4 linked regions of the Struthio camelus genome follow. The protein of the gene in region 3 interacts with the protein of the main gene of each other region in a pairwise test. Links are inferred from orthologs where the notes say so. Each region holds a gene or a part of one and is shown on either strand. Other genes may lie near its edges. The genes, in order: CIRBP, EWSR1, KHDRBS2 and HNRNPR.

Region 1 (7,374 bases), on a different chromosome or scaffold from region 3:
ATCAGAAGCTGTCAGGCTGTGTTTGACAAGATTAGAACTGATAATACTACAAAAGTGAAAATACAAGTAGATGTACTACACAATAACGATTTCAGCGAAGCTCCAAAAATCTTTATAAATACAGCCATTGGAAGGACGATCTTGAGTCAGGAAGGATTTTTACTCGTTGTGTGTAGCTGAGGACAAGAAGCAGGCACAATTGTAAAGGCACTGAAGCATAGACAAGTTCCAGCATTTTACTCCCTTGCATTATTTCAGAAGCTAATGCTAGTTCGCTATGTCTTAAGAGAACTCCCCCACCCTTGATTAAAGTTTGTTAGGGCATCTGAGTTTTGTCTTAGTCTCAAGCTTGAGGAATGTAGTTAAAAACTTGCTTTGCCTTAGATCCAAGCAACTCCTACACATGCATTACAAATTAGAAATTTAAATGGCACAACCACGTCCGAGGCTTGACAGATTGGTTCTTACGGGCAAGAACAAAAATAGTGGTACAGTCCAACTGAGCCTTACAGTATTTCCAGACTTCAGTACAGGGTGAGAAGGTTTAGAGAGTTCCTACAGCAACATACTCGTCATTCCCATTTGAACTAAGACTTACCGTAACTGTCGTAGCTGTCTCTGTAGGATCCTCCTGAAGACCTGTCGCCGTAACCACCTTGACTCCTGCTGTTAAAAATACATTCACATGCATTATATTTGTTCATCTGTTCGTGGAGCCTCTTGACATGTGTCAAACAGGCAGCGGACTTCCAAGCGCTTTGCAAAAGAACCCCTATTTGCGGTGGGTTTACCTGCTATTATAGTAGTCTCTGGAGCCATTATATCCTCCACTTCTGGAATCAAACCTGCTTCCGCCATAGCCTCTGTCTCCACCTCCTTCAACAGATGCAAGGAGTTTATTTTAGCATGCTGAGAGCTACCATTATCCTATCAATAAGTACTGATCTTTTACATACGCTCACCTCTAGAGAAGCCACGGCCCCGACCTCTGCCTCCACGGAAAAAGCCTCTGCCCCCAGAAGACCCCCCTCTGTATCCACGAGATCTGTTCTCTGATGATTTTCCAGCCTGATCAACTCTGATCTGACGTCCATCTACAGACTAAAGTCGAAAGAAAAATAAACCAACTTGGTATTTCAATGTTGAACAACAAGCCTTTCGTTCAGCGTTACAACTAAGGTATAGCCCACTACAGAAGTAAATTAGTTTTCAAGCGCTATGTATGTGTTCCCTCTGAGTTTCTATCATTTCACTGAACAGGAACACGCTTTGCTGGCTCCTCTTATTCCTTGAGAGATCAGGAAAGAAATTCCAAAGTCTCCTTACCTTTCCGTTCATAGCCATCATTGCATCTTTAGCATCGTCTATGTTTTCAAAAGTAACAAAGCCAAAACCTCTGGATCTTTGAGTCTCTCTGTCTTTCACCACAACGACTACAAAGAAAAAAAGAACATGAGCACCCAGGAAATCTAGAAAATTCATGGAAAACATCACAGCTAATTATGATGATCTTACCTTCAGAGATCTGTCCATATTTAGAGAAGACTTGTTCCAATGACTGCTCATTGGTGTCAAAACTCAGACCGCCAACAAAGAGCTTCCCCTCATCGGATGCCATTTTGTCCTGTAAAGTCAACGTACCCACCGTTAAACCAAGAAATATTTCCGCAAGGGCCAAAACATTGGATCAGCAGCCTAGCATTCTTAAACAACGCACGCTCATTCGGTTCAGCGAGCCACCGCTGCAAACCACAAAGGAGCACCCGAACGGAGGACCAAGTGCTTTCTCTTGGAAAAACCGAGCCACATCCAGGTTACGAAGGAGAGCACAGCTACCCACCACATCCGCCCTCACCCGGGGCCAAGCCACCTCCCCGGAGGCGCGCAGAGGGCTCGCCCGGCACGGCGGGCTCCGGCCCTGCCTGCAGCCGCCCGCCCCGCCCCGCGCATGCGCGCCCCGCGGGGCACAGGCGCAGCCTCCCGGCCACCAGGCCCCCCTCCCCGCCCCCGGAGACGCCGCTCCTCCCTCCGCGCTCCGCCCATTTGGCGCAGGCGCGTTGCGACGCCCCTCCTCCCACCCGCCGCCATTTTGCACCGTCGAGGCGAGTCGCCATTTTGTTTCCGAAGGCGCATTTCACCCCTCCCCCTGGTTTCCCCCCCCCAACACAGCGCACACACGCAGCGAGCAACCACAACGCCTTCGCTAGGCTCACTACACAACCTCGAAAGACAGCGGGGCCGCGGGACAGGCGCCCCCCGCCCCAGGCTCCCCCCCGGTAGCAAACCCGCTGCTTCTCGGACGCGTTCCCCTTGACTAAGGCGCTCCAAGCCTCCCCAGCCCAGCCCGGCCCGGCCGCCGCCCGAGCACCCCAGCAGGCTCCTTACCAGTATTCTGGAGCTGAAGGGTCCACACAGCACTTCAAAGTCTCAGCGCGATGTACGCTGAGGCTGGCGGGGCAGCGGCTTATAAACCCCCGCTTTCGGCCCCGCCCCTCTTATGAATATGCAAATACTGCCCCACCGCAAGGCGGGGCGAGTGACGAGACCAAAGCGCTGCCGCCGCTCCGCCACCTGATTGGCCTGGAGCTTATTAATATTCATGAGGCCCGACTGGGGGAGAGGGGAGGAGGGAGTGAAAACAAAAACGCTGCATTCCCCCTCCTTCCCTTACTCCCACGTGGGGGTGGGGCGTGGAGGGCGGCTCTGATTGGTTGGGAGCTCGGAGAACGTTGGCCAGCAGAGCCCCTGTGAGAAGAAACGAAGTGGAGGCAGCTGATTGGCTGGAGGGCGCCCCCGTCGCATTTCCCCCTCCGCCACACCCCCTCGCGGCCCGCACGGGGAGGGGGCGTGGCCGCGCTGCCCCAGTTTCGCGCCCTTCTCAGCAATGCGGCGGCCGCCGCTGCTGCAGACAAAGGGGCCGCCTGAGGGGGCGGCCGCCATCTTGGGCGGCGAGCGCTGCAGCCTGCGCTGCCTCCCGGCGGGGCGCAGCCCGCACCGGGCGGTGCTCACCGGCGGTGGCTCGGCTTTCCCAGTGTGCCCCCACCTCAGGGCCCCTCTCGTGTTCCCTTTGCTGAGGGAGGGCAGCCTGCCCCCCCACCCCCACCCCGCGCAGGCATGGCGGCCTGTTGGCTCTGTGGGATGACGGCAGGATCCGTCGTAGCAGAGCGACCAGGCCGACGCTCGGAGGCCGGGGCGAAGCGCCCCCCTCCCCGAGCCGCTCTCTGGAGAGCGGAGGCCCCTCGGGCAGGCGGCAGAGGAAGGGGCCGCCGCGTCCTCGTCACCCCCAGGCGCGCCGTCCGTCCCCTCGGCGGGCGGCCGCCCTCCGCGTCCTGCCCAAGGGTTACGCCGCGACTTCACCTTCCCCGGCCGGCTCTCGCGGCGTGTGCAGGGTGAATAACGGCTACAGCAAAGCAGCCTCCTCCTCTGAAGCGCGGTCCTGGTGACTCGACACCCCCCGCGCGTACTCCTGAGAGCATGGCACAACTAATTTTAAAAGCCGCCCCATCACCCGTTCCCAAGCATAAATGGTTTTGTGAAGGGGAGGGGAAAAAAAAAGAAAGGATTCTGCTCAGCCCATTTTCCATTGAAACGTCTAAAAGCCCACCCTGGGATTTTTATAAGGTAAGTATATCTCTAGCATTAAAAACTTCCCAGTTCAAACAAGAAGCTGTCCGACACAGGTACACGTTTCTTCAAGAGACTGCATTGCTTTAAAACGCACAGGAAAACACAATTCCCCAGTCTTTCCTAGAAAAGCTACAGTCTTGGCTCAACTATGCCATGATGTAGGATGCTATTTAAAAACGGCCGAGAGGAAAAGACGCAGGAGGAAAACGGCGGCATACGGACAAGAGCTGGAAGAAAACAGGGCTAGGACGGGTCCTGGAGGCCACGTCACCTACCCCTCTACTCGGCAGCAGGATCAGCGCCGTGTAAACTGGATCTGTGAAGTGAGGTGGGGAATTGTACTGCAAAGGAGTCGGTAATTTTGTTTGCAGTTTGCACCAGGAGAAGAGGGTGCGCACATACGCGCACCCCTGCCTCCCTCCCATCGCCTCTCTGGTCCCAGAGCTCAGAGCAGTCTTGGTCGGAACCGCTGTTTAAATAGCATACGGTATTTAAGTCAGGGCTGGGTTTTTTTCCCCCCCCCCAAATAATGCGATTGATTTCCTAACTGAGTGCCGAGACAGGAAGAGTGAAAAGAGCCATAGTGAAATGCAAAGGAGTCTTCTGCCCACTATTGTTATGTGAAAGCAGGGAGTACTCTCCTTCCCTGCCTCTCAGAGTAAGGAAATTGGACTTTTCCTCCCTGATTTGATGTTACCCGTTTTGCGATCTACAGGGAAAAGATTGTTTGTTTTGTACACAAGCAGGTATAGTAATTATGAAATACAGAAGAATCTCAGTATTGCACTCTGCCCTAATCTGTACTGCTGTACACTCAAAAATAGCTGTTTCATTACTCCTCAGCACAGCTTTCATAATGGAACATTGCGGATTTTATGTTATGGTACTAAAGCGTTGGTCGTTTCGCCAAACATACAGCACCAGCAGGGTACAACAGCATGCTCCACCACCGTGCATTACTGGCTACAGCTCAAGTACTAGTAAGCGCATTAAAAATATATATATTGATGAGGCACCAATCTATTACTATTATTACCTTCTTACTGGTAAAACTATGAAAAAATGAACTAATTTTCCAGTCCAGAGAAGAAATTAACAGCATTAATAATACAAATTATTATATATGTTATATATAATCTATTGGTACTTAAGTGTGTCTGAGATGCTTTGCAGTAAAAGGAAAATAAAAGGTTCAGCACTCAAAATATTAGAGCAATAATTAAAAACAAGATGAAGCTGTGAAGGTAGGATAAGATATTGCAATATTTTTTTACCAAAAAAAAAAAATTTTGTTTCCTGATTGGAAGTAGGTATTTTAAACTCAGCGTTTAAAATGTTGAATAAGCCTGGGTTATTTTTTAATTCTACCTAATATTGCATCACACTGTGTGGTCCACCGGTGCACCAGTCATGTCAAAGGACGGGAGAGGCAAGGAGAGAGGACTTGTGTGCCACCTGAGATCGCAAGTCAATTTTTGCCCTTGAAAAAGACAATTCAGCCCTGAGCTTGAATCCCCAGCATGGCATTTTGATTAAATTAGGGACGTATTAACATAAGCATTTCTGGTTCACGATGAGGGCGGGTAAAGTGACCTTGACGCATGGAGCCATTTTGCAAGCGGAGACAGGGAGCGGCGTGAGTGGCGGTAGGACACGGCACGGCTGCCCTGGGGATGCTGAAGGGGAGGAGGCAGCGCTGTAGCTGCTTGCATATTCCTAAGGCCGTCAGTACCGCAAACGTCAAGGGACAAACACGGTTATTTTTAATCGTACTTTTTTCTCCTGCAAAGCCGGTGCGTGTTAAGTGTTTTTAAAATAGTACAGTTAATCTTTTATGTACAGTTTCAATGGAATTTGGGTCCTACCAGGACCAAAGGCTTGTGCAGAGACGCGTAGCTCTGTTCACCGCTGAGCATTGGCCCTCAGGGCCTGATTTGGCTCCTCTAACAGTAAATGGAAAGATCCCAGCTCTCTTCTGCAGCAGCTGGATTGGGCCCCAGAAGCCGAAGACCTGATTCCGGTCTCACTTGGGTGCATTCATGCTTTTCCTTTGAAACCAGTGAAGTTACACTATTAAACAAGGTGAGAAACAGATCAAATCAAGATCTCCTGTGCTGCCTCCACTCGCTTGTCCCAGTTCTGGTGCTCTCAGGAGGCTTCACGTGCTCCAGTTCTGCTTATTCCTCCCTGTCTGATCCAGGGCATTAGAAGCCGCGTGTGTCACTTTAGCTGGTAAACAAGTGGGCTGCAGCGGCCACGTGGCCAGAGCTTTCACCTGTTGGGCACTGTCATGAGTTTGTCCCCGGCACAATGGGCTCCGGGAGGGATTCAGCACAGGAAAATCTCTTGGCGTACCAGAAAAGCACCGCAAAACTACAGCTGAAACCAGCGCGGGCAGTGTATGCCAGTCAATAACTGTCCCGGCTGATTTCACGTGTTGTTATGGCAGTAATTAGGCAATGAAGCATAACAGACGTGATACATGTCACCAGAGGTAACCTTTCTGTAGCAATGACTGACATTTGCACAACTCCTGACCTGAGGATCCCAAAACTCTCGACAAGGTAAAGCAAGAAAACGGTGCTCAGCGTTAACTTTTGCGCTGTTTCTGCCTGTGGGTTAGATGCTCAAGTAGCCCCTGCACAAATTTCAGGACAGAGCATGAGTTCATTTGTTTTATCCAGCTGAGGCACATTTTCAATCACCTTTCGGTCGCCCGACAAGAAAGAACTGTAGTTAAAGTGACCTGATGCGGTGGAAGTGCTGTTGCGTCTTCCGCAGCTGCAAATAGCTGCCTTGACCTGTAGGCTCTCCGAAGCAGAGGCCATCTCTCCATGTGTTCATGTGGCTCTTAGCACAATGCTGCGCTCCTCTGGACTGTGGACTTCAGTGTCTGATAACTGTTAAATCATAAATCACAAGAAGCTGGAGGGATCTCAGGGACCAGTCTTGTCTGTTGGCTCAAGCAACCCCATTCCTGGCAGATATTTGTCTCACCCATTTCTTTAAAACCTCCGGTGACAGAGATTATTGTAGCATATAAAATGATAGTACTTACGTCCTAAAAGAGTCTCCTTCCAGCAGCACAGCAGCTTTTAGTGCCACATGCAGGGAGCATCGATAGAGGAGTGCTAAAAAGCCTACTGTAACGTCCTTGTCTCAGTCACGGTTTCCAAATCTAGTACTCAGCACCCCCCCTGGCCTCCAAGGGACCTTTGCAGGATGGATGCAAACAGCTGGATTTCTTCGAGGGACCTCCGCTAGGCAACATTTATTACCTGTATTTGTAGGGGCCTTTCTCCAGTCCTTTAAGGCTGGCCTCACCCTGTAATCACAGCCATTTTCCACGGGATAGAGCAGTTTGGCATCTGCCCAGAGCCACACAGCAACCAAGCACAAACTTGCTGCGCAGCCCGCCTGCTCCCGTAGCCTGCGCCCAGAGCCAGGGGCAGAGCGGGAGAAGCGTCTGCCCCAGGCGCCGCTGTGATCAGCTTTCCAAACCGGAGAGAACAGACCCGAATTCCTCCGGGAGCTGCTGACGCCGGCCTCGGGCGAGGGCTGGGGAAAGGCGCTCCCAGGAGGGACGCGGGGAAGAAAGGGGGCGAGGAGGAGCACGGGGACGGCTGGCAGAGGCCGACCGGGCACCAAAACGCCTGGCTGTGGCTCTGATGGTATCACCGCCTGCTTCTCCGCGCTCCGACTCGCACAAGCCCTGCGACGGCAGGACTGGAAAGGGGACAAAAATAC
Region 2 (8,005 bases), on a different chromosome or scaffold from region 3:
TCCCCGGGACCCCGATGGTGGCATGGGGGTCCCCGCTGTGCCTGGTACCCCTGTTGCATCCCCGGGACCCCGATGGTGGCATGGGGGTCCCTGCAGTGCCTGGTACCCACGTCGCATTCCTGGGACCCTGATGGCACGGCCGGTCGCAGCTGCCCCCACCAGGGTGTCTGTGCCCACAGGCAGGATGGAGGTGGCACTGCCAGCCTGGCCCTGCCTGGCACCCGCTGTCCCCTCCAGCTGCGTGCGGGACCATGGGGTGCGGAGCCGGGCTGGCCCCGGGGGAGGGACCCCCAGGACAGGTGCTGGGGGAACAGGATTGGGCTCAGAGCCCTTGGGGCAGGGGACGAGGTGCCTCCGGCCGCGCTGTCCCCAGGGGCACCCCGGCATCGTGCTGCGGTGAGTCGGGGGGGCCGGCTCCGAACAAGCCCCCCTGCGGCATGGGTGCAGGGTCCGGCCGCGTGCCCGGGGAGGGCTCAGCGGCCGGGTGGGCTCGAAGCCACGGCGGGGGGTGGGGGGGCCTTGCACTGCAGGGGCAGGACCCCCATGCCCCGAAGCACCCATGGGTGGCTGCTCCGCACCCCCTCAACGGCCCCTTCTGTCTCTTCCTCCGCAGGGGGAGGGTTTACACCAGCTCCGCGAGGCGCTGAAGATTTTAGCGGAGAGGGTTTTAATCTTGGAAACAATGATTGGGCTCTACGGTGAGTAGGGGCAGCAGAGGAGCGAGCCCGCACCGGGGTCCCCGCTGCCGGCTGCTCCCGGGCGGGCAGTCGCCGCCGTCCCCCTGCCCCGTCCCCGGCAGCAGGTCGCAGGTGGAGCGCGCCAGGCCCTGATGACATCGCATCGGCGCGCTGATGTCACGGGGCTGCGGGGAGGCGTCCCTCAGCCCTGTGCTCCCCTCCCCTTCTCCGTGGGGGGGAACCGGCACAACGGAGCGTCTCCCCCCTCCGCAGCATATGACATCATCACACGTGTGACATCATCACACGTGTTAGGACATCACATCACGGCACTGGGACCCGCTCGTAGGGCGAGGATACCTTCTGGTGGCAGAGGGCCTCCGGGCACCCCGGGGTCCCTCCCCTGCACCGCCGGGTGCAGAGATGCCCGTGACAGTCTCCGTGTTGGGGACAAGCTGGTAGCACCAGGGCAGGTTGGGGACACGTCCCCCCCGCGTGTCTGGCACTGCACAGGGGTCAGCGTATGATGGGGCAGGAGAGCGGGGGGAGCCCCAGCGCCCACTGGGGCTGCAAGGTGCTGGGCACCCATTGAGCTCCCGTGTCCCCACGAGCCCAGGCGGGGACGGCCACGTCCTGTGCCCGCTGCCCTGGGTTGGGGCACCACCAAGGAGCCACCGCCGGGGACATCGGGGCAGCTTCAGCTGCCCCAGGGTCAGAGCAAGGGAGCCCCTGGCACCCCTGGGATCAGGGGAGCCCCCTGCACCCCCCTGGGACCACGGGAGCACCTAGCACTCCTGGCACCAGGGGACCCGCAGCACCTGCTGGCACCAGGGGATTCCTGGCACCCCCCTGCCTGGGAGCACCCCGGCGAGCCCCCGGCACCCTCCCAGCACCCACCTGGGAGACCTGGCACCCCCCGACCCACGCACCAGCACCCCTCTCAGCCCCTGAGGGCTGCTGCTGCTGTGCCCGCTGCCGGCCCGGCTGCGCCCGTGCTGTGCCGCCCGCGCCCGCTGCTGCGCCTGCGGGGCGAACGCGCTCTCTGCTCTGCTCTCTCACTCTCCACCAGGCCAGTAGCTTCCAAACCCTCCTGCGGCAGCAGGCCCGGCTGGAGATCCTGGCTAGAAGGGTCACCTTGCTGGAAGCCATCATCTGGCCAGGTAACAGCGCCGCTTTCCGTCTCCCCTCCTCGCATGAGCTGGGCTCGCCGCGTCCCCCTGGGAGCTTGGGCTGCCTGGCGCAAGGGAGGCCGGAGCCCCTCGGACCACGTCCCTGGAGCTCACCGGGAGTAAGGGAGCCTCCAGAGCCCCTCTCGGAGCAAGTGAGACCATGGAGACCTTCAATCCAAGAGGCCAAGTGAGACCCTGGAGCTTCCCAAGGACTAAGGGAGGCCCTGGAGCTCCTCTCAAAACAAGGGTGACCCTGGAGACCTCCTGGATCAAGGGAGACCTTGGAGCTCCCCAAGGACTAAAGGAGGCCCTGGAGCTCCTCTTGAACGAAGGAAGACCAGGGGGACCCTCTCAGATCAAGGGAGACCTTGGAGCCCCTTGGACCAAGGGAGCCCTTGGAGAATCTCTTGAACCAAGTGAGACCATGGAGACCTCTTGGATCGAGGGAGACCCTGGAGCTCCCCGAGGACCAAGGGAACCTCTGGAGCCCCTCTCAAACCAAAGGGGACCAGGGGGACCCTCTTGGATTGAAGGAGACCCCAGAGACTCCCCTGGGACCAGGGGAGCCCCCGGTGCCCGGCCCCGCTCGGTGCCAGGGTGCCAGCTGTGTGCTGGCGGGTGCCCCCCTCTGCCTTTCTCTTCTCTCCGCCTCCACTTTCCAGCTCTGCTTTTTTGCGGGGAGGGGGCTCTTTTCTTTCCGCATGCCAGGCGGGGGGTGCCAGCCGGGTGCCAGGCAGGGGTGCCAGGCAGGGGTGCCAGCTGGGCATGGCAGCTACCATGAGCCGGGTCCCAAAACGACTCTCCTTGTCCCCCCCGCCACCCACCTGCTGGGCCGGTCACCCCGGAGCGAAGCCCACCGCGGGCGCGGGGCTCTGGTGCCAGGCGGGCTGGTGGCCGTCCCGTGTCCCTGTGAGCGGGGCTGTGCCTGGCCTGGGGGCAGCTCACCCGCCGGGGGGCCGGGGACATCGCCGGCGGGGGCACCGCGGGGCGCCTGGCACGCGCCCGCAGCGCCGTGGGGGACAAAGCCAGCCCCGGCGTCGTGTGCCCCCTGCCCTGCTCCGTGCGTGGGGACTCGCTCGTCCCCAGCGCGGTGCCAGGCTGACACGGAGGGCGGCCGGGCTCCTGGTGCTCAGCACCCGCGAGGCGATGAGGAGAAACCCCGGCGAGCTCGGCGGCCCCCATCCAGCCCCCTGGACCACGGGCCTGGCCCGCGGTGGCAGGCGATGGGCCGGGGGGGGACCAGAGACCCGGGGCGATGGGCACAGGGGGACCAGAGACCCGGGGCGATGGGCACAGCTGCCCTGGCATCCCATCTCACCCCAGCACGGCCCAAAAACCTCACGATGGGGAGGGGGTCCAGCCGACCCCCTGGCCCGGCCGTCGTGGCTGCGCGGCCGGTGGCGGGGGGGGGCGGGGGGGTGCGACAGAGCCCGTTCCCGGGGTGCCAGGGGGTCCCGCGGGGGGTCAGGGCTTGCACCTGCGCCGGACCGCCGCCTCACGCCTCTCTCCTCTCTCCTCCGCAGAACCGGAGCCTGGCTCGGGCAGCGGCCCCGGGGGTCCTGCGGCGCCCGGCTCCCCCCGCCACAAGCGCAGCCGCCCGCCCACCTACCGCATCGTGGCCCGCGAGCCCCCCGCTGGCGCCCAGTGACGGCCCCCAGCGACGGCCCCCAGCGACGGCGGGCCCGTACCGGCAGGGAGGCGTCGGGCTCCGGCGGGCGCCCTGCAGCCCGCCCCGTCTCGTCCTGCGCCCCGCCGCCCGGCAGGGCGTTTTGGTGCTAGCCGGCGGGACGCTGCCGCCCCGCGGTCCCCCTCCCCGGCCCGTGTCCCCGTGCCCCCCGCTGCCCCCCCGCGCGCTTCAGCCCAGCCGCTTTGGGAACGACCCGCGTCGCCAGGTCATTAAACGCCTCCCTGAAGCCCGTGTCCGGCGCAGTCCGTGCGCGTGTCCCCCCCCGGGGGCCGGCCCCCCCCCGGGAAGAGCTGAACACCGGGCACCCCCCGGCTGAGAGCCCCCGGTACCAGCCTCAAAACCCCCCCGGTACCGGCCTCAAAACCCCCCCGGTACCGGCCTCACAGACCCCCCTGGTACCGGCCTCGCCGCCCCCCGGGTACCAGCCTCACAGTCCCCCCCGGTACCGGCCTCACTGCCCCCCCCAGTACCGGCCTCGCCGCCCCCCCTGGTACCAGCCTCACAGACCCCCCTGGTACCGGCCTCGCCACCCCCCCCCGTACCGGCCTCGCAGCCCCCCCGGTACCGGCCTCACAGACCCCCCCCAGTACCGGCCTCACTGCCCCCCCCCCAGTACCGGCCTCGCCGCCCCCCCCCGGTACCAGCCTCACAGACCCCCCTGGTACCGGCCTCGCTGCCCCCCCAGTACCTGCCGGTGCAGCCACATGGCCACAGCCGCCGGGGGCAGGGGGTGGCCGCGGCCCCCATCGGGGCGCCCGCCCCGGTACCGGCACCCCGGGGTGCCCCCGGCTCCCGCCACACTCGTGGGGGAGGCAATGGGTGGGGGTTGCGTGCCCCAGGGGCAGGCGGGGGGGAAGGGGGGTCGGGGGGCCCCACGGGGGGGCATCCTGCCCACGCGTGGCCCCAGGCCTAGCCTGAGCCGGGCCCCCTTCCCCACTGCGTGACGTTGTGCCTGATCTGTGGCCTCAAAGGATGACGTCACGCCGTGCGACAGGTGACCTCACGCGCAATGCCACGCGGCAGCTGCTCCGCCTGTGGCAGCTGCGCCGTGACATCCCCCCGCCACCCCCCAACACCGCGCGTGACGCCGCGCGATGACGCCACGCCGCGGCCTCGCTTGCTGGCGCCCGCTACGTGACGTCAGGCGGTGGTGACGCCTGGCCGCCGCGTGACGTCAGGCGGCGGCGCCGGCAGCGCCGCGGCCCCGCGCTGCGCCCCGCGGCCGAGGCGCCTCTTGCGCGACGCTCCCCAGCCGCGGCGGGCCGAACCACTGCTCCGGCCGGGAGGGGGGGCGCGCGGGGCAGCGCGAGGACAGCGGCGTCCCCAGCGGCGCCCGCCGGCCCGGAGGCCGGTACCGGCTTTCGGCCACACCGAGACAGAGCCCGGATCCCGGCGGCGGGGCAGCTGCCCCTCGCCGCGGCGGCCGCCGGGCCGCTCCCCCCCTCCCCGCGCGGGCGCCTTGGTGCGGCCCGCGGTGGGAGGGGCGGCGCCTGCGCGGCGCGGGGCGGCGGCGGCTGCAGCAGCCGGACGTTGGGAGCGCCGAGGAGGAAGGCGAGAAAATGGCGTCGACGGGTGAGCGGAACCGGGCCGGGCCGCGGGGCCTCCCCCTTCCCCCGCCCCGCCGCGAGCCCGAGCCGCGCCGTTCCCGGGCCGCCGCCGCCTCCGCGCCGGGGCGGCCCCGCCGGGCAGCGGCGCGTGTCCGGGCCCGCCGGCTCCCGCCGCCGCTTCGGTGCCGTTGAGGCGCGTTTGAGCGCTCGGCGCGCCGGGGACACAATGGCGGCGCCGGCGCGGTCCCGCCCGGCGGAGCTGGGGGCCGCCGCGGCCTGAGCCGCGCGCTCGGGCCCGGGGGTCGCGGCGGGCGGGGCGAGCCCGGCCTTGAGTTCAACCCCGCGGCCGAGGCCTGGCCGGGCTCGCCCCGCGCCGCCGGCCCCTTCGGTTCGGTTCGGTTGGCCGCGGCCGGGCCGAGCTTCCCCCCAGCAGCCCGTGGCGCGCAGGGGTCCTCGCTGCTGTCAGTGGTGACTCATCAGAAAGCCGTAACTCTCCGGGGCTTCGCTCTGATGGGAATACTTTGATTTTTTTTTTTTGGTCAGTTTATTTTAAAAAAAAAAAAAAAGCTTATGATAGCGTATTGCTAGAGCTTCCACCCTAGAAAAAGCGCAGTAAGATGCTTTGGCTCACGCCCTTCCAAAAAATCGCTCTCTTTATTGAAGGTTTCCCCCATGCCTTCGTTTTTTTGGGTTTTTTTTTCCCTAAGGGCTATTCAAGGCTGTTTGTTGGTGCCACTGTGATTCCTTTGAAGGAAATCAGTGAAGCGTTGTGGAGGAAAACATAACTTTCACGTGAGGGCCGCAAATGGGTGTAAATAGGTCAGCATTCAGACTTATCAACGGTGGCGGCATCATGTTTAATGTAGAGTTAAAGCCCGATGCAGAAGATTGGATCGTCCCACAGGAGAAAATGTCATATACCAAGGAGTGTAAAGGAGAATGACTAATATCGCTTTGGAGAGCAGGGGAAAAAAGTTACTAAAGAAACATGTGCCGTAGCATTGTCAAAATGGGGTTTAAAAATACAGCTGTCTTTCCGCTTAATAAATGGAAATGTTCATTTGTGGGAGCTACTATTTTAAGGCTGCGCTATTGTGCTCCTGAGCCTCGTGAAATATAAGTATGAGGATTAATTTCCCATTGGAAATAAGGGCTCGGAGATATTTTTAAAAAATTAACCATAATATTTTTTTTGAACGCTTTGCACCAATCTGTGTTCTAGCAAATTGGAAGAGAAGAAGACAAATTGCAAATTAAACTTACTCACCTGGATTTAAATCTAGCTAAGGGAGGAATGGAGTATCTCGGTATGCCTGCGTGAAGGCTGTAAAAGGGGATATGAGTGTGCGAAGGAGGCTTTGACTGGCGACTGTGTGCATAGCTGAAGATCCAAGCCCGGGGTGGTGGTAGGTTGCCGGTGGTCAGTGGGCCAGGGGTGAAGGCTGGGGAGATGGGTGCCCGGCAGTCAGCCCTGCTGGAGGGGATGAAGCTGGAGCTATAGATGTGAACAGCCTGAAGGATGACAGCAGCCCAGAGTGGAGCAGGAAATGGGAATTCAATGAGAGCTAGGGAGGTTTTGACGGATGGGGGAGCGAAGAGGAGGTGAGGTTGGGAAAAGAGGGGGGAGTGAGGACGTTGTACAGCAAGATGCAGGAAAGAATGGAGGAGCGCTGAGAGATAGGAGGAGGCAGTGAGAGATGGAAGAAGCTCAACTGGATGAGGGGGAATTGGTGATGGTATTTAATGCTCCACATTTTGCGGAGCTGGTAGTCACGCGTAGACTGAAAAAAGAGGCAAGGCCCTGAGTTTAGCAAGCTGGACTTTTAAAATCTTAAACCTGACAACATATAAGGAAAGCGGGAGTAGTGCTGAAACAGTCTAACAACGTATGTGGCGCATTTCAGGATTTTGGAAGCCTTTGAGTAGCAGCTGAGCATCTTTTTATTGTGTTTTGACCAGTGTGCAGTGGTTTACATCTGTCAAAAACTACTACCAAAGTTATGGCATCTCCTTTCTTAATACGTTTCCATCAACACATGCCCTAGAGCCTGAGCTCCAGCCTCAATAGAGAGAAGTGAAAGGGAGGAAAAGCCGTATGTTCACGCAGAAGGGTTAGGAAGAAGAGTGGAAAGCTGTATTATGGACGAGTCTGTGGCCTCAAGAAACGGGAACCTTTGGTGCATGAAGGTGTATGACAGCAGAAAACTATTCAAAATGTTTTCTCGTGCTTTGTCAACTTCAGTTGCAAACAGCTGGAGTCATAATGGGATTAAGGCACTCTCTATAATCTGAGGATAACTGATGTCTGTAGAGTCTTCAGCCAGATTCCTTAAATTCATGCGCTTCAGGTTTTTACCAAAGATTAGCTTACCCTAAGTACTATGGCAGCAGAAACACCTAAACCTCTTTCTGTTTGGCTCTGTATAAGAAAAGGTATAATAGCATTTTGTTTCTGTCTGCTTCCAGTTCAGTCAAGTGCAGTGGCCCAAGTGGCAAATTGGAAGTCGGAACTCTTTCCTGATCTCCCTACTCTGCTGATGGGCCTCTTCTGATTCTGGAAGAGTTTGAATTTGTCTGGGAAGGTTTGGGCTAAGCGATGAACTCGTCGCTACCGTTTGCTCTAGACGTTTGGGAGGAAACTGAAATGCTTTGCAATATGAGGGAAAGCGTACATTTAGGAGCTGTAATCATTTCAAATATAGCCTTGTAATTGCCATGCTGGATGCATTTTCCATCCCTTGCAGCTAACTGGTTAAGTGTAGATTTTTTTGCTTGCGTTTTCTGAATTTCAGTTTTCCTCTGAATCAGGCTGTTGCCATAGATCAGGGCTTTGGGGAAGGAATTATTGCCAGCTGCCTGTCTTGAACTTTGATATGGGGAGAGTGTTAGAACTTTCCAGCAATTTGTTTTTGTCCTTGAAAGTTA
Region 3 (6,928 bases):
CTATCAGTGTTTATTCAGTTGTATTAGTGGAGAGATCCAAAATCTACTGATATCAGGATCTTTCCACTGAATTCAATCAGCTGTGAGTTGGACCAAATGCCTGAGTCTTTTGCTGTGCAAAGTGGCTAGTCAGAAGGTGATCTACAGTGATTGGTGTATTTGCTGAAGTACATTTCCTTTCTGGGTTGTTCAGCCAAGTGTTCTCATTATGGAAATAAGTTTTGCATTGACAACTTGTGTCCAGGTATGCGTCCAGGTGTCCTGTTATCAGATTGTAAAGCAGCATGAACTCCAAGGACTAGGGTTCACAGATGAGGGGGCAGTGGCCGGATAGAAGCCAGGTACAGCCATTGTCCCAAGAAGGAATTAAACATACTAAAGAAAAGGAGGGGGAGACATACTTATGCATGTATTGCTGCTTCCTTATTCCTTATATTGTGAATAATAACTCTGGTTTAAGGATAGGATATAGTTAACACAGCTGATGGTAGAAACTCCCTAGGCTGTTTACGCTGATGTGTAGTCAATTTAGGAGCTCAGATAATCTCTATCCCTAGCTAAAAATGGGTGAAACAGAGAAGAAATTTGAAAGCAAATGGGATTTCTGAAATTGAAAACTCCTGACTAATCTTGTCTCTGGTGTATGAAGGCCTAGGTGTAATCACACACATAAAGGTGTGATCTCATCTAATTCATCTAACTTATTACAGTGACTAATGTGCTGACTCAGAAATGTAACTGTCATTGTGCTCACACTTGTCATTCATTCTACTGCATATTCTCAAAGGATTTCCTAGTTTTTAAAATATATATTTGGAAAGTTTGGAGATTTTCTACAGCAGTATGCTTCCACTGCCTTTTGACTTCAGTGCTACATGATAGCACAAGGGAGATACATTCAGCTGGTAGTGGCAAAAAGACACAATGATTGCTACCTGTCTATCTTCAAATAAGCTATAATCTAGTATGCTGTGATCTGCTTCATTATCAGACTTAATAATAAAATATAGTACGGATAAACTTTAATTTGGCTTGACACTTTAAACTAAAAAGTTATAAAATGTGCCTTTGGTTTTTAGTAGCTATGAAAAAGAATTCAATCTCCAACTAGCAATGAAGCCATGCTTGATGTCATTAGAGGTCTATATTTCCTGTCTGACAGATTTTAATGATTTTTTTTAATGAGGTCTAAGGTAAAATTTAGAAAAGCATCTCAATGGCTTTGCAGCCTAAGTATCATTGAAAGTCAATTTAACTTTATAACTTTTGAAAATGGAACTTACAGAAAACTTGTCTCTGCCTACCTTGCTGTAAAAAGATCAGCATGCCAACCTGTTCTGTACTCCCTTGACCAGAGAAATGAGTTCAATGAATGTAGCCCTTCCCACTGCTCAATAAACATAAAGGTGTTTGAACAAGGTGCTTTCTTGTAGGTGCTTTCTACAAGCTAAGTGGGATAACTGCAACTAAACAAACTAAAGTGACACTATTCTTATATTCTTATATTCTTATTCTTATAGCACCCCAGATGGAAAGCCCATCAAACAACTTCTTTCCTATACTTGAGAACATAGCATGCCCTGAAGGCTAGAAGACCAGCCTTGCTTCGGAGTAAGGATGGCTTAAATTAGTTTTGAAGATGTACTCAGAGAATCAGGAGCAAGACCTCTCAGAGAATCAGGAGCAAGAGCTGTCACCGATCTTTTCTCTTTTTGAAGTGAGGGGGACCAGCCTGAATTATTCTGAGGAGTAGAGCTGCAGAAGTATGGTATGAAGACACAGGCGATCTCTCTCTCAGGTAAGATAGTCCTGAGTTCTGTCGCAAACAATATGGCATTTCTTGCTAAATTGTGAGCCATGTGAAGAAGAACTGCCCCTAGTTCTATGTTTGTCTTTGTTTTATTTGTTTTTTTTTAAATGAGGACTTACACCTTTACCGCCACATCCAATATGTAACAAAAGCTGATTGCCAATTAAAGCAGTCATTTCCATAATCAGAGTCTTATTATCTACTTCTGAAGTGTTTCACATGTCTTGAAATCAAACTGTTTTCCTGCTCCTTGCCTTTCTCAGTGGGGAACATAGTTCTCATACCTTCTCTTTCTTTGTTGTTCTTTCTTTTTCTTTCTTTCTTTCTCTTCTTTCTCTTTCTTTCTTTCTCTCTTTCTTTCTTTTCCTTTCTTTTTCTTTCTTTCTTTCTTTTTCTCTTTTTTCTTTCTTCCTTTCTTTCTAGAAATAGGAATAGTAGCACTTCAGTCTTCTACATCTATGCTATATGTATTTTTATAAATACATGGAGGCCCTCAATTACTCTACATACTGAGTGGAAATTGAGTAATGGCTGTCTGCATATATCTCAGGTTTTTGAAGACATCACAGACCATTTTCTATGGCTGTTTAACACCTTTCTGTCCTGATTTTTACCTTTGCTTATTCCTTCATCCCCTGAAAAAAGTACAAATAAAAATCCAAACACTATAGAAAAAAATCCCTTAAGAGGAACAGTAGTAGGTGATTTGAAAGTGTATTATGGCAGTAACTATTTATTTCATTAGAAAAACATATTAAGTTAAAAGCAGAAAGAATCTCACCTTGAGGTTGAGCATAGCACACATAGTATTGTATGATGGACAGTTTGTTCTTGAGGCCCCACAAATGACGTTTTAACAGCCTTAAGATGAGCTAAACATCTTTTGTTTACTCTCAGAATCAAAACATGTTAGTAAATTGTCTGTTGGGGGAAAATCCTGAATAAATATAAGCTAGAGTAAACGTATATTTAAAGCTAAATTCTAATTAAAACAAAATCAGTTTTATTTACTCCAGCTGTAGACACTTCAATTGCGTAGCCGCTGTAATTCCTCAGGTGCGGGTGCAGGAGCTTCAGTTCGCTGCGCCAGGAGGCGCAAGGCTGCCTGCCCACGCGAGACCGCCCCCGCCCGCGGGCCCCTCCTGCGCGGACAGGTCACGGCCGGGCCCGAGCAGCCGCGCCGCGCCGAGCCGCCGGGGCCCCGAGCGACCCGCCGCCGCCGAGGCGCCGCTGCTCCACGGCCGCCGCCCCGCCCCGCGGCCGGCGGCGGCTTCAGCACCGCGGACAGCGCCCGGCCGCCGGGGCCCGCGGGCGGGGCAGCCGCGCGGAGCCCACGGGCACGGACAAATGGGCTTACACACGCTCCTGAGCGCACGCACGCACACACATATACGGGCACACACGCAGTCACAGCGCGCACAGCCACAGCCACGCACCGAAACACGGAGCGGCAGCCACACACACACACATACACACACGCGCGCGCGCGCTGCGACGCACGGACAGGAGCGACGCAGACACGCAGTCACAGCGCACAGGCAGACACAACACACGCGTGCACAAAGAAGCACTCAGAGACAGAGCCACAGGCGCACGCTCACACACGGAGACACGGCACACGCACCCCCCCCAACACACCAGTCACACACGTTCGCGCGCGCGCGCGGTCCTCTCCCCCCGCCCCCGCCCCCGCCCCAGACCGCTCCGCGCCCCGCCCACCGCCCGGCGACAGCCAATGGCGCGGCGAAGTTTCCGCGTGGCCCCCGCCCTGCCGGGCACAGCCACCAATAGGAGCCGGGGGACTGAGCGTGCCTGGCCCCGCCTCCCTACTTAGGGCGGCCGGTGGGAGCGGGTGGCTCACTGGGCGGGGGGGGCAGAGGCGCGCGGCGGCACACGCTGGGACACGCGCGCCCACACACGCGCCCCCCGCGTGGAGCGAAGGCGGCGGGGGGTGGGAGGAGGAGGAGGAGGAGGAGGCGGTGCCGCCGCCGCCGCGGGCAGCCGCGCCGTCGGGGCGGCGGCGGGCGCGGCGCACCTGAGAGCGGCGGGGCGCCGGGTCACAGCGAGGCGGCCGGAGGCGCGGAGCGAGCCGGCCCGCCCGCCCAGCCCAGCCCAGCCCAGCCCAGCCCGCCCCGCAGCGCCCGGCCGCCGCGGCCCCGAGGCGATGGAGCAGGAGAAATATCTGCCCGAGCTGATGGCGGAGAAGGACAGCCTGGATCCCTCCTTTGTTCACGCCATGCGCCTCCTGGCCGACGGTAAGGCTCCGCGCCCGGCCCCGACCCCGGCCCCGGCAGCGGGGCGGTGCGGCGGGGCCGGGCCGGGCGGGAAGCGCGGCGGCGGCGGCGGGCGGCGGGCTCGGCGTCCCCCCCCCCCCCCCCCAACGTCCCCCCCAGCCTCGGTCCGCGGAGCGGAGGCCACCGGCGCTGCCGGCCGCAGGTGCGGAGCGCGTCGGGCGGCGGCCGCTGGGGCCGGGTTTAACCGCGGGCGCGCCAGCTCCCGCCCTGGCGGGCTGCTGCGGCCGCTCGCCGGGAAATGCGCCTTTTACTTCTTTGGGGAAGGGGAAGGTCTCTCCTCGAGGCTTGTCCGTAGAAGGCGGATGGCCGCGCTGGTCCCACGGGCCGTTGCAGTTGGTTGGGCTCGGGGAGCATGCTGCCATGGCCCCTGGTTTTATTTACACACAGGCAGACGCTAGTTTCTCGTTGAACTCATTACCTCTTCTTTCCCGTGCTTAATAATAAGGCTTATATGATAACGCTGTTACGCCTTCAATGCAGCACTGTTTTCCTTGACTCCGCTCTGTCAGGCGTTCATTGGCTGGGGCTTATCAGTTTCATGCCACAAGTTCATTCAGGACGTGATGAATTACTCCTGGACTCGTGGGGCGATCTAGAATAAAACACTCATAACATCTCGTTCTTCATTATCATAACGTAGCTCTGTTTTCCTCATTTTGGTTGAGGCCTTTTTTTTTTTTTTTTTGACTGGAGAGTCTTTTAAAAGTTTATAATTTAGCCTATTTTTTCCCCCATACCCGCTCAACGTGGTTACTGAGCGCAGGCCTTGCAGTACGGCGCTTCCAGTTGCACAGCACCGTAATCTGTGACGGCCCCCTCCCTCTGTTCCTTCGGAGGTGTATATTGTTCGTTTCTAAAGTCACTGTTAAATTTGGATCCAAATATCAAAACGAAGTAGTAAAGAGTGCATAAATCAAGAGAGGCTATCAAACCCTTAAATGAGACTGAGGCAAAGAAATGGATGATTAGGCCCTTGAGAGAGTCGCAAATTCCAATTATCTCACATTCAAAGAGGAGTGAATAATTTCCAAAGTTCTGTAACATCTTAAGGAAAAATTACAACCACTTAAAACTTACTATGCTAGCAGTACTTGTCTTTCCCTAAGCCAGCAGTCTTTCTGTTGTCTTTCTTTCTTACACGTTTTCTTGATTGTGAATAAAGGTACTGAGTCTAGGTTTTATTAAAGTGCCCCTGTTTGATAGTTTGGAAGTTCAGTATGAATAATGACACATTTAGTATACCTTTGTAATTGGTCTCCTGCTGCTGAAGAGATAACCACGCTACTTCCCATAGTTGTTTTTCTATTAAGGACTTTATATGTACCATATGTTTATTTCGGAAAGGGGCATATTTTCTGCACCTTGCAATTTGATCTTTTCCCAGAAGGGGGAGGTATCTACTGAGAGTGTGTGTGTGTGAAAGAAAGAAAATGCATGCAGGAAGTAATTCAAAGTGTGTGAAGTAAAGTTTTTAAAAAAAAAAAAAAAAGGGGGGGGGATGACAGAGTTTCTGAGTTTCAAGTTCATGCGAAAATTGCATTTTGAGTGGCTTGTGAGACTGCATAAGTGATTAGCATTCTCCTTCGTTCTTAGTATAACTAGGACTAAGTATGTGAATTTTTAAAAAAGATGAAGGTGAATTGTCTGTGGAAGCTGTAGGGAATGCTAATGTCAGATTCACACCAGATACCTGGCATTATCCTTCAAAACACCATCTGTCAAGCTTTCTAGAGATTCATTTTAGAGTCTAACATATGATAACTATTGAAACAGTTTCATCAAAGTAAGAGTCAAACTAGTTAAGGAAACAGGAGTGAATGCACTGATTGCTCCTGGGTATAAGCAGAAGGAAAAATGTGTACAACAGGCGGAAATTTTTTGGGATGCCAGAAGAACATGGAGCAGTAGCGCAAGGGCAGTAGCGTAATCTCTGTAGTAATATGTTTCTAGGCTATGCTGGCTTTAAAGCAATGCTTCCAGATTATGGATTTCTGTTCTTTGAAAAATAATATATGAATAGCTGCATACATACCAATAGTAGTCAGGTGTTATTTTTGTGGTGTGCTAAGCTTTTTTGATTGCCAGTAGATTTAGTATAAAATGTGTAAGTGCTGGTTGCAGATTTTTTGCTTCAGAGTGGAGAGCCTCCAGCTCTGACTTGAAAGTGCTGTGATTTTTCATGTCACTTGCTAGGAGCTGAGGTTGAGAAGAGACATGCTCCTGTTGGAAACCGTAGAAGGGCACACAAGAGAGCAGCATTACAGAAATACAGTTTCAGTTCATGACACCTGGGTTTACTTGGATTGACTTGTAAAAATATTTCTGTTTCTTTTAAACTTTAATATTAGACTCTGCCGTTTTCCTTCCCACAAATATGTATTTTATGTTTAGACGTGCCTAACTTATTAAGCTGTGAAGATGTGGGTGACACATGGAAGCTACAAACCACTGGACCTTTCTGATAATTTGTAACTTCTTTTATATCAGCATTATTTTAATAAGCCAGAGTGTCAGCTACTTGTCGCAAACAATATGTCGGCAATTTTCCATGTATGCGTGGCTTTGAAATAGCTTACATTGTATATTATTAAAACCAATTGCCTGTGTTTTCTAGTAGAAACATAAAGGAAAAAGACCCTTTGGAAAAAGAGCCAGCCAAAGTAAAAGCATCTTTCCCTATTGAAATATCAACACTACTTGGGTAATGAGGTAGCTAATTTCGCTCTGTTTAATGACAGTACAATTGACCTCAGATTTTCAGCTGGCGTTCTGAAGGCAACGAGAATCAGGTCTTTTACTTTAATCGCGAGTTAAGCCCTGAGTC
Region 4 (7,678 bases), on a different chromosome or scaffold from region 3:
GACAATGTAATCAAAAAAAAAAAAAGCTAATGAGGATATGAAACCAATTAATGAGGAGTCAGAACAGGATGCAGAAGACAAATGGGATGCACCCTCAAGAAGATAAGGGACTGTGGGGAAACAAGGACATGGCACCCAGCGTGGCATATAGGCCAGGACCTGTCAGAAGAAGAATGACACCAATCAGAAGGAAAGACGCACCAACCAGGAGGAGAGAGACCACTGACTCAGTAAAAAAAAAGATTGGAGGAGACCTTCACTGGCAGGCAGGGAAATAAGACTTCAAAGGGTATAATTACCCCAGCACGTCTTTGTTTGAGGTCCCTCTCCGGAGGCATCCAGCTCAAGCTGTTACTATGCTGTACTATCATTTAAATAAATAATTTTGCTGCTATACGTGTGAGAGACTCTGCTCCTTGGAAACCTAGGGTTGAACTGTTTCCACAACAGCAGAAAAGGAGATACCAGCTATGGACCGTGGCTGCTTCAGTGCTTGTAGTTTGTTGCAGACTAAAACATCGCCTCCTGTTTGTATTGGCACTGGGGCTGTATGAATCAACTATCTCTAAGATGGTTATAGGTCTCTGCTGCCCTGTTAAGGGGTGATTTCCTGGTAGCAGTGAATAAAAGCACAAGTAGGGGACTAAACATTTATCATTTGATAGGGGAGGATTGCAAGGAGGATATAGAACCAGGCCTGGAGAAATTCCTGTCTTCCAAGTTAGTGGAGTTCAGAACAGGAGTTCTGGAATCCAGTGTGACAGTGGAGGACAGGGGGCAGTTGTCTTTTAGAAACCATTACTCCCTAATTGTCAACTATTTTGAGGCAACTCGGGTGCTGAGCGCCAGCACTTGGAGCTGATATTTGAGATGTGTTAAGACTGTGAAGATGATGCTATGCACAAGCTTCTTCCCAAGATGCTTAATTTGGGCTGCATCCTGCACAATCTGATGGAAATTGCTAAGACTCCTTGGCTGTGGGGCAGGGGCAAAAGCAACGAGAGAGAGAGAGAGAGAGAGAGAGAGTCTGAAACCTTGCCTCTAAATTGATAGGACCTGCTCAATCTGCTTGCATTGACTTGTATTACCATGAAGGAATGAATTCTAGTAAATAAAATTGCCTCCCTTTGATGTATCCAAGGTCTTCAACAAGCTGTTTTAGTGCAAGGTCCGCAGGTTACCCATTCTGGTTTCTTTGGGCTGTTTTGTCACTCTAGCCCTCCCCACTCCAGAACAGACAGGGGAAGGAGGTATGACAGAGCAAATGCTTATATTTAAAATGTATTATTTCCCTAAAATCAAAGACACTGGCTCTGTGCAAGGCAAAATAAACTTATGTGCAGAAATTAACAGGGTAATACTAGCAGCATGGCATCCCTAGGCAGCCATTTTCCTGAGCATTTCCCTGCTTTAAGGAGTGGAACTTGTTGGGGGCTTCCTCATTGATAAATAAGGACTGTAGAATGTCCGTGAGGCAGCAAGTTTTGTTGCCTGTCTTTCCAGATTGATGCAAGCCAGCTCCCTGCAGCAGAGATTAACCACCTTCTTGGTTCTAAGGTGGTCTTTGTTCTGCCTTGCTTTGGCCCAGGAATAGTTCAGGTCTTGCGTGCATCTGTTTGTTTTCAACCACACAGAGCTGTAAATAGCATAATTCCAGGAATTTCTAGCAATATCTCTTTGAAATTACTCTTTGTTCCAGACCATCTAGGACCTCCTTTCAGGCCCAGCTTGCTGGCTGGCACTGAACTCTACTACCTGCAGGCCATAGCTTGTTCCTGTCTAGAGATGTTCAGTGTTTAGATCTTTTTGGTCGAGGCTATTGTATGGAGCACGAGACCAAAAAGCTGAACAGCTGCCCAAGCACATGCAGATGCTAGCGGGGGTAATAGATATACTGGAGTGATGTACCAGAACCCAGTCCAAAAGCCAAGGGACTAGAGATATCTACAGCCAGCATGAAGCTCTAGTACTTCTATACTAGATGGCAATACAACAGCAGATGCTCTCTTCTCATGTCCAGAAGCCTCTAACAGTCAAGCATCCAGAAGACCCCCCCCCCCCAAAAAAAAAAAAAAAAAAGAAACCACCAAGGAAAGAACCTCCATGGGTGAAAATGGAGAGAAGGACCATCTTCAACTGGGGGAAGAGACTGGTATGATTCATCATAGGTTGATAACCACAAACATACCAGCAGTTGTGGCTTCATGTCAGAATTAGGTCAGATCCATTACAGCAGCATGCATCACATCGTAGATGATTTTCATGCTGTTTTTGCTGTTCATGCTGTCAAACCATGTTTAATTACAAATTCTATCCTATGAACACCAATTTATGGCTGAAATTAATAATCTCCTAGCAGGAAAATAGCATGCTAAAGTCTTGTTCTGGCAAAGACATGGCAGGCTTAACACAATATCAATATGAATTCTGATTATGAAATGAGAACTACCCAAAAACCCCTACCCCACCCCAAAGCCCATAGCCTGCTAATGCTCACAACTACCTGCATACAATTAATTACCCTTGGAAAACACCCATGCAGAAATGATGAAAAAGTGCCAAATTAAAAGCCTTAAAGGCATTTCTGACAATGACTACCTTAGAAATCTTCCTGATTCTTCCTGAATCTACCAAGATTTGGTAGTGCTTAGCAACTGAAATTACTTTACTAAAAGTGTACCTACCTCAATATAAATTTTGCTCTAGTCTCATCATGTTCAGTTGTCAGCTAACAGTAGGTATGTTAGTACTCTGTATTTCACTCCTGGATGCGACATCATAAGATATTTTGAAGAGCTTTGCAGAATGTTTATTAAGCACCACTGAAGTGACAGATGTGCATGTAAACATCCCTCAATTTCTCTCAAATTTTGTGCTGGGAGAACTCCTTAAACCTATTATTCTTGACTCCCAAACAGTCGGATCAACTGCTGCAGTGAACTTGTATGGATGAAGCAATGAATAATGTTCCCTTGCATCTTTATGCCACACTAGACCCTACCTTCAACAAAGAAAAGCTGTCACTGTTGCCAAATTTGGAGATAGAATTCATAGAGCCAGTACAGGTTTCACAAGAGAACAAGCATGTCTGCCATGAGACAGGTTCAACAAGATAGACTGCTTACCTCTGATATCTGTATGAGTTCACTTCTGGCTTCTGGCTCAAAAAAAGCTTCTTTCATTTACAGCAGGTAACATGTACAGTTTTTATCTATGTTCCATTTAAGGGCGATGGAAATATGCACACTTAATACATTGCACAGATACATGCAGTCTTCTGAAGAGTGTCACTTTGTCATTAAACTGTTGGAAGAACCTTCTGAAAGCATGAGAGGCTACTGTTTTTCTTTACTTACCAGACTCAAGAGTGATGGTTCACCTGGCCATCTATGTACATAGATGCTCTGGATTCACTTTCACACAATATTCTGGGACTCACCTTGACCTCAAAGCACAAAACAGTTATTCTCATGTCATGCAACTGTAGGCTGAGGAAATGGAAGTCAGCACAACACTTTGTGGCCTAGGAAAAACAACATCACAGCCAAGAAGCTGACTTCCCACAGAACTGTGTATTTAATGCATCAGGTCTACACCCATCAAATAGACTGATCAAGCAGACAGACCAGGTAAGCAGGCAAGTTACATATAATCACAGATGAATTATCTAGAAACCAGCATACCTCACACAGATATCCTTTCAGGGAAGGCTCTGAACCAGGATTCTTGCTGCTACACACCTTTCCCTCTTTACTCCGGACCTGGAAGCCAAATCTACTAACGGCCTCAGATTAACTTACCAGTAATATCAATGCAGGCTGGCTCTCATCTCCAGTAAAGCTTACCAGTCTTTCCTAGCATGGCCAGTGGCTTCACCCGGCAACAAAAAAAAAACCCTACAACTGACATATAGTGCTGTGCTAAACCTCATGCTATCTTAGCTAGCCAGCAGGACTTTACTGGATAGACCTACATGGCCAAGGAAAAACTACTGGAGCAGCAGGATACGGACAGCAAATTCTTCAAGACAGAAAAGCAGCATTTGCACAGAAAGCATAATTTAACAAGAAGCAGCCTCCAGGAGAGGCAATACTAGGGCCCTGGTCCCTCATGCATGAGGCAGGCCTCAATCAGAGCCGTTGGGCTGAGGCAGCAATCCCTCCCGCAGGCAGGGCCCGGGCCGCGCTGTGAATTCCTCACACGCGGCCCCCGGGACACCCACCGGCCTCAGGGCTAGGATTAACCCCGACGGGCAACGCCTTCAGCCGGTGGCTGTCTGCCCCAGGGCCCCAGTCACCACCCGGGATGAGCCACCTCGGGCAGCACCCAGCCGCAGGCCCTGGCGCGCAGGCGACGCCCGGCCGCCGGGGGCGGGGCCCGGCCGCAGGCGCGCGAGGGCCCAGGGCGGGACGCCCCCCGCGCACCCGTCCCGCTCCCTTTGTTCGCAAGGCTACGGGCGGCGCTGCCCCTTTAAATCCCCCCAGCTCGGTCCCTGCCGGCGCGCCGGGCTGAAAGCGCGGCGCGATTGGCTATAGAGCCTCCCTCTCATTGGCATCTGGGAATAGCTGCGCCACCCGCCTCCCGCTTCTCATAGGCGCTGCCGGCTGCCTGTCTGAAGTGCGAGTCCCTGAGTGGGTGAAGCAGCGGTCCCTGGAAACAGTTCCGGGAAACCCCGCGTGTTGCCGGGGTCGCGTCGCCGTCCATGAGGAGAAGGAGGAGCGCGCGCCATTTGCCGTCGCTGCTTGGGCCCGAGCTGCGCCGCGCAGGCCCCGCTCCGGTTAGTCTCCGGGGGGTGCCGATGGTGTCGGGGGGCCGCCTCGGTCGGGGGAGGAGGAGCGGGCTCGCGGGCAGGCCCTGCGGCGGGGTGGCAGGCGCGGGCTCCGCCTAGGCCCGGCGTTGACGGAGGCGGGCCTGGGGCGCCCGCGCCGCGTAGGCGAAGCGGGACTGCGGCGCCGCTGGTGCCCGGGCACGGTGTCTGCTGCGCAGGCCCCGGCGGAGCGGGCGGGTGGACCGCGCGCGGGAGCGGGTGCTGGGGAGCGGCCGGGGGCGGGCCCTATGGCCTCGGGGGGGGGAGGACGGCCCGGCGGCCCGGCGCGGGCCCTGCATGGGGAGGGCAGCGCGGCCGGAGGCCGCCCTGGCTCCGCCCGGCCTTGCGGATTAGCCTTGCATGTGGCTGGGGAGGAAGCGTGGCGGGAGCTGTTCTTGCGGTACTGCTAACGATGGCTGCCGTGTGTCCCTCTGCGCTGGGAGTTAAGCCCTTTCTCGATCCCCTCTTGGGCAGTGTGGAAAAACAGTATTTTAACAGCTCAGACGCCCTGATAGGCAGCTGTCGTGGTTACTGTCCGATCTGTGCCGCATTATGCGTGTGGGGAATTGGAAAAGACTTTGACAGAAAACGCATCGCTGTTGCCAGCGCTATGAATAACTCTCTGAAATCTTGTAGAGCGCATTTTGATACTGCTGGCTGTAGGGAGGGAGAACTGCACTGCATCTTCTCGCAGCTCTCAGGTTGGCACTTAGTATTTTGTTTGAGACAGTAACACTTGCTAAATGCTCTGAAGGAAGCATTGTTGCAAGGACATTGGTTTTCTTAAGTGTTCTTTACCAAAAGATCTTTACCAAACCTTAAACGAAGCCTTTTTTAAATCCCCCTCCTTTTTTTTTTTTTTTTTTTCACGTGGTTCTAGTTACTGGATCTTAGCGACCTTGTTACCTATTAATTCTTGGACGTGGCTAATCATATACTTGAGCTGTACTGGACTAAGCTTTTCTTTGAGGAAAGTTGCTTGCATTCCGCCCACCCCCCAGTATCTCACTGAAGGATCCTACCAGCATGATATTTTTGGGCTGCAAAGGGAGTTAATGTATATGAAGTTGTTGGGTTTTTTTTTTTTTGTTTAAGATTATACTTTGTATAGCACTGAATTATTTTATGTGTCTTCTAAAAGTAAAGACCATCTAACCAGAGTTTTACAGTGTAATTTCACTATGTAAACTGTAATGTTTGCAAACTAGCAGAGGCTAGATGACATTTTTCTATCTTAGAAACTATATTTTTCCATGAGTGTTTAATATCCTTACCTCTCAGTTTTTTATCTAGATGTGATCCCTATTGGGATAATATTTGAGCCTCCCACTAATACTCAATAGTTTTGTCGAAAGAAGCAATGCTCCCTGCTCTCATAGACAAAGATCTGCAAAACTTTCTAAGGACAAGTTCATCAGAATAATGCTCACTTTTGCTGAAGTGTTGTTTTGAACTAGAATGTTATGGACGTTGTTCTGTACAACCCAGACAATCAGGTGAGCCATAAAAGGCCAGCTCCAGGTAGAAATTAGGGTACGTAGATTTTTATAGCTCAGGTTAGCAAAACGTGGTAGGTACTGAATCAGTCAGTGCTGTATTTTAATGGCACTGATGGCTTTTGTGCACATTGCTAACCTGTTGTGGTAGAGTCATCTCTTGATGGAGGGACTGCTTATACTTGCATAGGTAATGAAGCGTAGTTTCTGTGGGGACTGTGCTAGTCTTTTGGTTAGGATAATGATGGAGGTTCTCAGGTTTTTTTTTTTTTTTTTTTTTTCATTCCATGGCATTATGGAATGGGAAAGACAAAACTGTGCTGGAGGGGTGAGGGTGCTAACTACTCATCGTTGTAAAGGTAGTCTGTCAATGAGATGCTGGTAAGAAAACTTTGCTAATGTGTAAAGGCCATTACTTCTAAAGATGTGATAACTTCAAAACAAGTCTTCTTATATGACATACTAAAATGTTCATTAGTATGATATAATTAAACTACTAAAATACGCTTTCCGTGATTGAATAAGCTATAGTTGAAACGAAATGGCTATAATCCTCGCACAAAGAAATGTTAAGGGATATGCTAGTCACTTTTGTGAACAAGTGAGGTTTTAATAAACTCCCAGTTGAGTTTCCTAATCTAAGATCCTTTCTTCCCCTTGCTCATAAATTTCTTCGTGTTTTGACAGAAACCTTAAGTGCAAGACTGATGATATTTTTCTGGGGACTAAATTTGTTTTCTTGAGGTTCATTTAAAAAAAAAAAATCAGACTCAGTCTAACATCCCCCCCCTCCCCCAATTCTATTTTTAATGTAGTCTAATTATTGTTTTTTCTCTTTAGACCCTGCAGGCTATGTATTCAATAGGAGGATTAGTAACATAAGCAACTTGAAATGGCTTTGGTGCAGAGTTTTTATGTATGACTTATGCTTCCTGTCCACCTTTGCTAAACAAGTACAGTTTAGTTCCTTTGCAAAATCAAAGTTAAACAGTAGAAGGCTGAGAACCGTATTGTTGGATAATCACTGCAAAGTTGGTTATAGTAGTTTAAAATATTATTGTCCTTCTGCCAGAAGTTTCCATTTCTGCTCATTTAAGCTGTTACTGAACATGTTTTGAATTAACTAGACTGAATTTATAATTAATTGGATGGAAGTATGCTCAGCTAGTCTGAGGGTGGCAGCCTCTAGAGGGATGGTATAAAAAATAGGAGATAATAACACTATGGCGGTTTCATCAATGATTATCTGTTAAGGGCTGAGATCAAGTTTCTGTTTTAATATGCCAAATGCTATCATGGTCAGGTGTATATTAATTCATTTTTTCTTGGTGGAAAAATACTATTTGAACCATTTGAGTTGTTTAAGCATGGGGGA

Evidence for each region.
Region 1: the proteins of KHDRBS2 (region 3) and CIRBP interact in binary tests that used the Homo sapiens proteins (3 or more experiments, as listed by UniProt). The two-hybrid records come from large-scale screens. The link is inferred for Struthio camelus from reciprocal best matches to the Homo sapiens genes KHDRBS2 and CIRBP.
Region 2: the proteins of KHDRBS2 (region 3) and EWSR1 interact in a two-hybrid assay, tested with the Homo sapiens proteins (2 studies listed by BioGRID and IntAct). The two-hybrid records come from large-scale screens. The link is inferred for Struthio camelus from reciprocal best matches to the Homo sapiens genes KHDRBS2 and EWSR1.
Region 4: the proteins of KHDRBS2 (region 3) and HNRNPR interact in binary tests that used the Homo sapiens proteins (3 or more experiments, as listed by UniProt). The link is inferred for Struthio camelus from reciprocal best matches to the Homo sapiens genes KHDRBS2 and HNRNPR.

Annotation. Positions count from the first base shown.
Region 1 is NC_090967.1:7,052,248-7,059,621, forward strand, and holds the start of CIRBP (cold-inducible RNA-binding protein), read right to left. Parts: upstream 3,008-7,374; 5' UTR 2,386-3,007; intron 1,625-2,385; 5' UTR 1,619-1,624; coding exon 1,516-1,618; intron 1,434-1,515; coding exon 1,327-1,433; intron 1,102-1,326; coding exon 963-1,101; intron 877-962; coding exon 792-876; intron 667-791; coding exon 599-666; intron 177-598; coding exon 160-176; 3' UTR 1-159. UniProt on the Homo sapiens protein: Cold-inducible mRNA binding protein that plays a protective role in the genotoxic stress response by stabilizing transcripts of genes involved in cell survival. Acts as a translational activator.
Region 2 is NC_090958.1:5,247,540-5,255,544, reverse strand, and holds the start of EWSR1 (RNA-binding protein EWS), read left to right. Parts: upstream 1-4,993; 5' UTR 4,994-5,092; coding exon 5,093-5,105; intron 5,106-8,005. Other genes in the region: EMID1 (EMI domain-containing protein 1), read left to right, coding at 614-698, 3,370-3,494. UniProt on the Homo sapiens protein: Binds to ssRNA containing the consensus sequence 5'-AGGUAA-3'. Might normally function as a transcriptional repressor. EWS-fusion-proteins (EFPS) may play a role in the tumorigenic process.
Region 3 is NC_090944.1:36,990,590-36,997,517, reverse strand, and holds the start of KHDRBS2 (KH domain-containing, RNA-binding, signal transduction-associated protein 2), read left to right. Parts: upstream 1-3,918; 5' UTR 3,919-3,974; coding exon 3,975-4,065; intron 4,066-6,928. UniProt on the Homo sapiens protein: RNA-binding protein that plays a role in the regulation of alternative splicing and influences mRNA splice site selection and exon inclusion. Binds both poly(A) and poly(U) homopolymers. Phosphorylation by PTK6 inhibits its RNA-binding ability.
Region 4 is NC_090964.1:2,706,122-2,713,799, reverse strand, and holds the start of HNRNPR (heterogeneous nuclear ribonucleoprotein R), read left to right. Parts: upstream 1-4,668; 5' UTR 4,669-4,702; coding exon 4,703-4,777; intron 4,778-7,678. UniProt on the Homo sapiens protein: Component of ribonucleosomes, which are complexes of at least 20 other different heterogeneous nuclear ribonucleoproteins (hnRNP). hnRNP play an important role in processing of precursor mRNA in the nucleus.